Linked DNA regions of Kluyveromyces lactis. The protein of the gene in region 2 interacts with the protein of the main gene of each other region in a pairwise test. Links are inferred from orthologs where the notes say so. Each region holds a gene or a part of one and is shown on either strand. Other genes may lie near its edges. The genes, in order: RPT3, RPN12 and RPN8.

The links.
Region 1: the proteins of RPN12 (region 2) and RPT3 interact in binary tests that used the Saccharomyces cerevisiae proteins (3 or more experiments, as listed by UniProt). The link is inferred for Kluyveromyces lactis from reciprocal best matches to the Saccharomyces cerevisiae genes RPN12 and RPT3.
Region 3: the proteins of RPN12 (region 2) and RPN8 interact in binary tests that used the Saccharomyces cerevisiae proteins (3 or more experiments, as listed by UniProt). The link is inferred for Kluyveromyces lactis from reciprocal best matches to the Saccharomyces cerevisiae genes RPN12 and RPN8.

The regions. Positions count from the first base shown.
Region 1 is NC_006039.1:571,280-574,096, forward strand, and holds RPT3 (proteasome regulatory particle base subunit RPT3), read left to right. Parts: upstream 1-939; coding exon 940-2,226; downstream 2,227-2,817. Other genes in the region: SHE9 (She9p), read left to right, coding at 1-531; SMP3 (glycosylphosphatidylinositol-alpha 1,2 mannosyltransferase), read right to left, coding at 2,316-2,817. UniProt on the Saccharomyces cerevisiae protein: The 26S proteasome is involved in the ATP-dependent degradation of ubiquitinated proteins. The regulatory (or ATPase) complex confers ATP dependency and substrate specificity to the 26S complex.
Region 2 is NC_006040.1:974,698-976,991, reverse strand, and holds RPN12 (proteasome regulatory particle lid subunit RPN12), read left to right. Parts: upstream 1-988; coding exon 989-1,786; downstream 1,787-2,294. Other genes in the region: RET2 (coatomer subunit delta), read left to right, coding at 1-584; KLLA0_D11352g (hexokinase), read right to left, coding at 2,164-2,294. UniProt on the Saccharomyces cerevisiae protein: Acts as a regulatory subunit of the 26S proteasome which is involved in the ATP-dependent degradation of ubiquitinated proteins. Necessary for activation of the CDC28 kinase.
Region 3 is NC_006039.1:827,062-829,684, forward strand, and holds RPN8 (proteasome regulatory particle lid subunit RPN8), read left to right. Parts: upstream 1-1,047; coding exon 1,048-2,049; downstream 2,050-2,623. Other genes in the region: GTPase GPN2, read right to left, coding at 1-589; COX10 (protoheme IX farnesyltransferase), read left to right, coding at 2,465-2,623. UniProt on the Saccharomyces cerevisiae protein: Acts as a regulatory subunit of the 26S proteasome which is involved in the ATP-dependent degradation of ubiquitinated proteins.

The DNA.
Region 1 (2,817 bases), on a different chromosome or scaffold from region 2:
CTTGAGGCTAAGGAGGAGGAACTTTCAACGAATTTGTACCGAGCCATTCTTACAAGGTATCACGAAGAACAAATCTGGTCAGATAAGATCAGAAGAACTTCGACATGGGGTACATTTATTTTGATGGGAGTAAATATACTCTTCTTCGTAATATTTCAATTACTGCTAGAACCTTGGAAGAGAAGGAGGTTAGTCGGTTCTTTCGAAGATAAGGTAAAAATGGCGCTTGATGATCATCAAAAGGAACAAAACTTGGCAATTTCAGAAATGTCAAATACCATAGACAATTTGATGGATAAAAAACTTCAAGAAACTCAAACAAAACCCCATCAGGAGGAAGTTCCCAAAATCCTCACATTTTCAAATATAGTTGCTGACTTTAAGATATGGTGTTCTTTACAGTGGACAATATACTATAATAAGTTGGTAACTCTTTTACCGGAGACAACCGTCACTTTCACCAAGAGTTGTTTCTACTCGTACTCCACACTACTTTTATCATTAGGTATACTATTAGGACACTGCATTTGAGTATACACAGGTGCATTGATATACGTAGTGGGTAGCCTATCATGTTAACATTCTAAACAGTGTAGGCCCTTCGAAAAAGTTGTCTAAGAACCGAGATCACGTGACTGCAAAATGGGTGGCAAAATACCCAAAATGAGATTTAACTTTTTAATGAAATAATGCAATTATTAAACTGAACGATTTGACATAACCACTTTAGTGTGGAAGGGGATACGTTTATAAATATATGTAGGTACAAACACATATATCCGTGTAAGTAGTAAGACTGACCCCTTAGTTTATTGGAATTGCAGTATATTATTGGAACTTTTCTGTGTTTTCGGATACTTTCGTCTTTATTTGATCATAGTCTAAAGGGAGTTAGAATATTTACACACTACGGGAAAGACGAATTAAGATCAAAACATTATGGAAGAACTAGGTATTAGTACTCCTCAACCTGTTCTTAGTGTAGAATTTGGTGCAAAGAATAATGGTCTATCATATGGTTCCCTACTTGCTCAGCTAAATAATGATTCATTTGCCGTGGCGAATGGTAATTCAGATGTCTACTTGAAACTAAAGAAGCTGGAGAAAGAATATGAATTATTGACATTACAAGAAGATTATATCAAAGATGAACAGCGCCATTTGAAGAGGGAATTACTCAGAGCCCAAGAGGAAGTGAAAAGAATCCAATCTGTGCCACTTGTCATTGGTCAATTTTTGGAACCGATTGACGAAAACACCGGTATCGTCTCCTCGACCACAGGTATGAGTTATGTCGTAAGGATTCTATCGACTCTAGATAGGGAACTGTTAAAACCATCAACTTCAGTTGCATTACATCGTCACTCTAATGCCCTTGTGGATATTTTACCACCTGATTCAGATTCTAGCATATCAATCATGGCCGCAAATGAAAAGCCAGATGTCACCTATGCCGATGTTGGTGGGTTAGACATGCAGAAGCAAGAAATAAGAGAAGCTGTTGAACTACCCTTGGTACAGGCGGATTTGTATCAACAGATTGGTATTGACCCACCAAGAGGGGTTTTACTTTATGGTCCTCCTGGTACTGGCAAAACTATGTTAGTTAAGGCCGTGGCAAACGCGACAGAAGCCGCATTCATCAGAGTGAACGGGTCAGAGTTTGTGCATAAATACTTAGGTGAAGGGCCAAGAATGGTTAGAGATGTTTTCAGATTGGCAAGAGAAAACTCACCATCAATTATTTTCATCGATGAAGTGGATTCCATCGCTACAAAACGTTTCGATGCTCAGACAGGGTCTGATCGTGAAGTCCAACGTATATTGATTGAGTTACTTACTCAAATGGATGGTTTTGATCAGTCAACAAATGTTAAAGTTATAATGGCAACCAATCGTGCTGATACTCTAGATCCAGCTTTGTTAAGACCTGGTAGATTAGACAGAAAGATCGAATTCCCTTCATTAAGGGACAGGCGTGAACGTCGTTTAATTTTTGGTACTATAGCTGCAAAGATGTCTTTAGCTCCTGAAGCAGATTTAGATTCTTTGATCATCAGAAATGATCCTTTATCTGGTGCTTTGATTGCCGCCATTATGCAAGAAGCTGGTCTAAGAGCTGTCAGAAAGAACAGATACGTCATCCTACAAAGCGATTTGGAGGAAGCGTATGCTTCACAAGTCAAGTCAGGTAGCGATGTTGATAAATTCGACTTCTATAAATAATTTAATTTAATTGTGTTTGACTCAATACATATCGGTAAATGCAGTGTATATTGGAAAGTATTCCTAATAGAAAATAAGCCAGTAATATTTCAAACTATTAGACTTACGTTGTATAGCCTTAATCCTGGCTTTATGGTAGTCCAGTCTGGCATATCAATGTGATCTAAATCGAGATGCTGCTGCGTCTCCCATTCTGTGATGAACTTCCATTGCGACTGAAGGGGGGTCAATTTATCGAGAACAGTATTTGGCATGATTAGCTGAATTGAGTCTGTGTTCTCCGAAAATTTTGTAAGAGTTTTATTTAGTAACTCAATGTCACTACCTTTTAAATCAACAACATGATTTGATACAACATGCCAAGGTATATTATCGACAAACTCTACATTTTCCTTAAAGTTCGTGGTAGAAACCGTCAGATCAGGATTGGAATACATCCACGTCGGAGGAGAATATGTCTTCCACCAAATATGAACAGGGAATTCTTCACCTGAGAAGTAGGATATGAGAGGTATTATTCCTGCTTGATGGAATACTCCCATTATCAATCCCATGACAATATTAAAGACGAGCCATGAAGTTATGATGGTT
Region 2 (2,294 bases):
CCCATCCAAATGTGGACAAGGCTGGTTTCTTAACTAACAAAACGATCGGGCTAAGAGATCCTAACAAACCATTCCCATCCAATGATCAAAGTTTGGGTGTGCTAAGATGGCGTAAGGTTAAGGGTGCTGATGAACATGATTTGATCCCATTAGAAATTTCAACATGGTTGTCTCCATCTTCAGAAACGGATAATGCCATTGATGTTACTTTTGAATATGAAGTCAACAGTGATTACGAAGGAACTATCGATGAATTACGCTTCTTGATTCCTGTCTTCACCGATACTGTATTCATCAAAGATGATCTAAACGAGGCTAATGCAATCGTAGAGGCCATTGACGAGTCCCAAGGTATTATCATTAAGGTGGACCCAATTGAATCCGGTCAGTCAAGCGTATTCAGTGTTACTGTCCAAGCTGCTTATGAAGATGCGTTATTCCCTATCGAAGTTGCTTTAAAGAACAGCAATGCCAAACCATTGTCTAACCTAAATATTGCTTCTGTTGTATCTGCCGCAGATGACACTGAACTACCATTCGACACCGTATCTACCTTGAAGAGTGAACAATATGTCGTAGTGTAATTGCACTTTGCAGTATTAAACAGCAGCATGTGTCTCTAGCAGAAAATACTGCTACTATATAAGTAATCCTATACATGTTTGTGTATTTTTAAGAAGTAATGTACAGTGAACTCCACCAAAAGTAATAAAAAAAGCCGAAAACTGAAGAAAAAATGGTAATCTGATCCGTATGCAATTGATTAGATATGGCCTGTTAATACCTATTGCAATACGATCGGCGCATCTTGTGTCCTATCTTACCCATTGCCTGCTTTCATTTGTTCAAAGTTCCTATAAATCTACTACTATGTAATGAGAAATTCAAGATTCAGTGAAATTGAAAATATCAACATTAACTTAACTCAGACCTTGCATGAATATGTTTTGCCACCGAAATAAAGGGACAGAGATAGACAGCAACCAAGATGCCATCGTTACCAGAGCTAACCAAGGGGTTGAAGACTGCCTTTGAGGGCAAACAATATGAAACATGTTTGAGATTACTACTTCCTATCAAGATTGAATTGATTAAAGCAAAATTGTTAATACCTGATATCAAAAGCGCTAAGGAAAATCAAAGCTATCTACAGGATCTGAATATAGCAAAGAAGATACTTGAGATAGGAGCACTTTCAAGCATATACTGTGAGGATTTTGAAACTTTCATGAACTATTACTCACAGTTAAGCGCATTCTACTTTTCTGATGTGAAAGAATTGAGTGATTCAGATAGCAAGTTCAAGTTGATAAGTTTGTACTTATTAATCTTGCTAGCACAAAACGATTACACTAAACTTCACTCAGAATTTGAGTTTTTGAGCAGATACGTTACGAATTTGGAAGAGAGTTCGTACCTCTCTTATCCAGTAAAGTTGGAAAGACTTTTGATGGAAGGTTCTTATCAAAAGGCTTGGGATCTGTTACAAACAGGTTCTAAGGTTGAAGAGTTCAATGTTTTCACAAAGACTTTGAAAGAGGCTATAAGAGAGGAAATTGCTTTGAATTCTGAACAAGCATATAGCTCCTTACCATTGTTCAACGCTAAGACTCTACTATTCTTCGAGAATGAAAAGGAGATGGAGGCGTTCGCTAAAGAACGTGACTGGAGCGTCAACCATGGCGTTATCACATTTGGAAATGATTCAACTCCAGACAGGATAGAGAGTGGGGATACCGTGGATATGGCTATTGACTATGCTGTTCATTTAGAAAGTATTGTATAGGTAATATCATAAAAATATACACTTCAAGCTTGAATAGTTTTAAAATAACTAGTGCCATATTATCCAAACTGGACATAAGCATAACTAATATTATTAAGATTTAAATTTGAAATATATTCATATTTGTACATTAACACATAAGTTAGTTTACATTTGCGAAGAACAATCTGTTCCGGCCTACATATATAGAAAAATGATGTTTATATGTCTCTATGTCGATGTTGGAAAGCCAGAATGGTCAAAGCTTGTTAACTAATGATATCATGAATTGGATTGATCTAATAACTTCATAACAGAGAAAAAAAATATAATAGCAAATCTTTAGATTAATTCCTCATAATGGATTGTATGAGGGAAATCATCCTCTATCTTCTATTCTATTCGCCTTTAATACCAACAGACTTACCGGCAGCCAATCTCTTTTGAGTCAAACAAGCAATGATAGCAGCACCAACACCGGAACCATCTTCAGCAGCCACCAATTGGATTGGGTGGTCTTCCATCTTTT
Region 3 (2,623 bases), on a different chromosome or scaffold from region 2:
GGACCTCCGTGAAGTAATCCAATCTGAAAGGCAACTCTCCGTATCCCTTTAGCATATCGATCTTTGAGAAGACATTGATGTGTGGAAGATCCATCATTAGCATCGATCTTAGTGCAAGTAGAAGGATCGAAACGTACTGCGAGGGAGAAGTAATGTAAATACAATCGATCAAATTCACAACACATAGCCTGATATCCAAATCCTTCTCTAGTCGTTTGAAAATCTTGAACAACGCCGAATTGTGTGTGAATAATTCGACTTGCCCGGGACAGTCAAAGACTAGGTATGCTTTCTCCTCTTGTACTAACGATTTGATCTGCAATATGAACAAATCGATCGACTCATTTAAAGACTCTATCGCATACATTAACCCACCATTCGGACCCAAATGCTGTTCTGACATAATCTCTTCTAGCGTGATATAGTCTCTAATATCGACCGAACACGGATACGGGAGCCGATGGTTGGCTGGATCCATATTTATCACTTGAACATGTCTTCCGATTGCATTGAAAAACTGGGAACAACCATGACAGTACGTTGATTTACCAGACCCTGGAGGTCCAATCACAATTTGGCCAAATGGCATCTTTATATTTATTTTCTAGAGTATACCCAAGGTCTTCGTACAAACCGTAAGCCGTCTTGTCTCCTCCCTAACCGTATAAACATGTCCTTTCATCTCATCTCATTGCACAGAATCTTTTTAATATTAAGCATTGAATTATGTTCGCTTCGCAGTTCCTAATATTTCGAGATTTGAAAATAAAAAAAATGAAATAGCATTAAGAACATTAGTGGCAAATATTAATTTGACAAAAATACCTGAAATAATGGGGCACTTGAAGATCTATACACTCCTGAAAGCGAAACTGTGATAATACTTTGAGATTGTACTAATTGAATTACCGTGACCAATCTAGCGTTTTGGGGTTTACTTATAAAAGAGAGTCAAAAAAAGTGCTTAGTCAATCTGCATTTCTGATAAGCTAAGAGAATAGAAATCAAACTATAAATTGGAAACAGCTTGGCAACAACCAATTGATAATGTCTGTACCTTACGAACAAGTTTCAGTTGCACCATTGGTGTTACTTTCCGTATTAGACCATCATCAGCGTACAAATACTCCGGAGAACAAGAGATGTTTAGGTGTCATTCTAGGTGATAGTTCCACGGCAACCGTGAGGATAACTAATTCGTTTGCGTTGCCGTTCGAAGAAGACGAGAAGAATCCAGACGTTTGGTTCCTAGATCACAACTACATCGAGACCATGAACGAGATGTGTAAAAAGATCAATGCGAAAGAGAAGCTAATTGGTTGGTATCACAGTGGTGGGAAATTAAGGGCTTCTGATTTAAAGATTAACGAGTTGTTCAAGAAGTACAGTACCAACAATAATCCCGTGTTGTTGATACTCGATGTGAAACAAGAGGATATCGGACTACCAACGAACGCATATGTGGCTGTGGAACAGATCAAGGATGATGGTACTTCGACTGAGCGGACCTTTATACATATCCCAAGCACTGTGGAAGCAGACGAGGCGGAAGAAATTGGTGTTGAACATCTACTCAAAGATGTCCGTGATCAAGCTGCAGCTGGTTTATCTATAAAGCTAACTAATCAATTAAATTCTCTTAGGGGCTTGCAAAGAAAATTGAAAGACATAGTAGCATACTTGGAAAAAGTGGCAAACAACGAGTTACCTGTGAACCACATAATTTTAGGAAAATTGCAAGACATTTTCAATCTTCTTCCAAACCTCGGAACCCCAGATAAAGATGAAATGATCGGCTCAAGTCATGTCTTAGACAATGTTACCAACAATTTGGAAAAAGCCCTCACAGTTAAAACCAATGACGAACTAATGATCATTTACATAAGTAATCTGGTCAGAGCCATAGTTGCATTTGATAACTTGATTGAGAACAAAATTCAAAATAAGAAACTTCTTGAAAAGCATTCGAAAGTTGAAGTAGAACAAAAGGAGGATGCCACTAATGACGGCATCCCTGCTGAGTCGAATTCGGTACCTACTAAGAACTGATGCAACTCTTTTAATAAACCGAAACGAAAATAATCAAATATAGTATTTTCTGTATACTAAGTTACAACTACGCCATATTTCCTAAAAATTTAATGAGAATTTAAATGAAGCAGTATGTATGTCTATATCTAAGATCAGCACCATTGGCATCGATATGGAACTGATCAATGAATTAAATGGATCTCCGGTACCGGTTCGTTAGTTCTCGTCAACCTCTTCAGATTGATTCCTTCTAATATATCAAATTCGCATCTCTTCATATAAGAAAATTTTATGAAGATTAAAGATCGAGGAAATTGTTCATTGCGCACAATTTTGAAGGTAAAAACCATTCTGAGACAACAGTGTATTTACCAGACCGAGGCCCAGTTAACCAAGATAATATATTCCATCAACTGCTAGTTGAAGATTGAGTATGTCACTGGTAATCCAGCCTCTACTTATGAGGGCATTGAACCCCAACTTATCCAGTATTTTAATATCGGGGCGTGGGTTTAGTTTGATTCAGCACAGACGGTTCGCGTTTAGAGCTGGATCTGGAAACAATAACTCCGAGCAAAACCAGGTTCACATC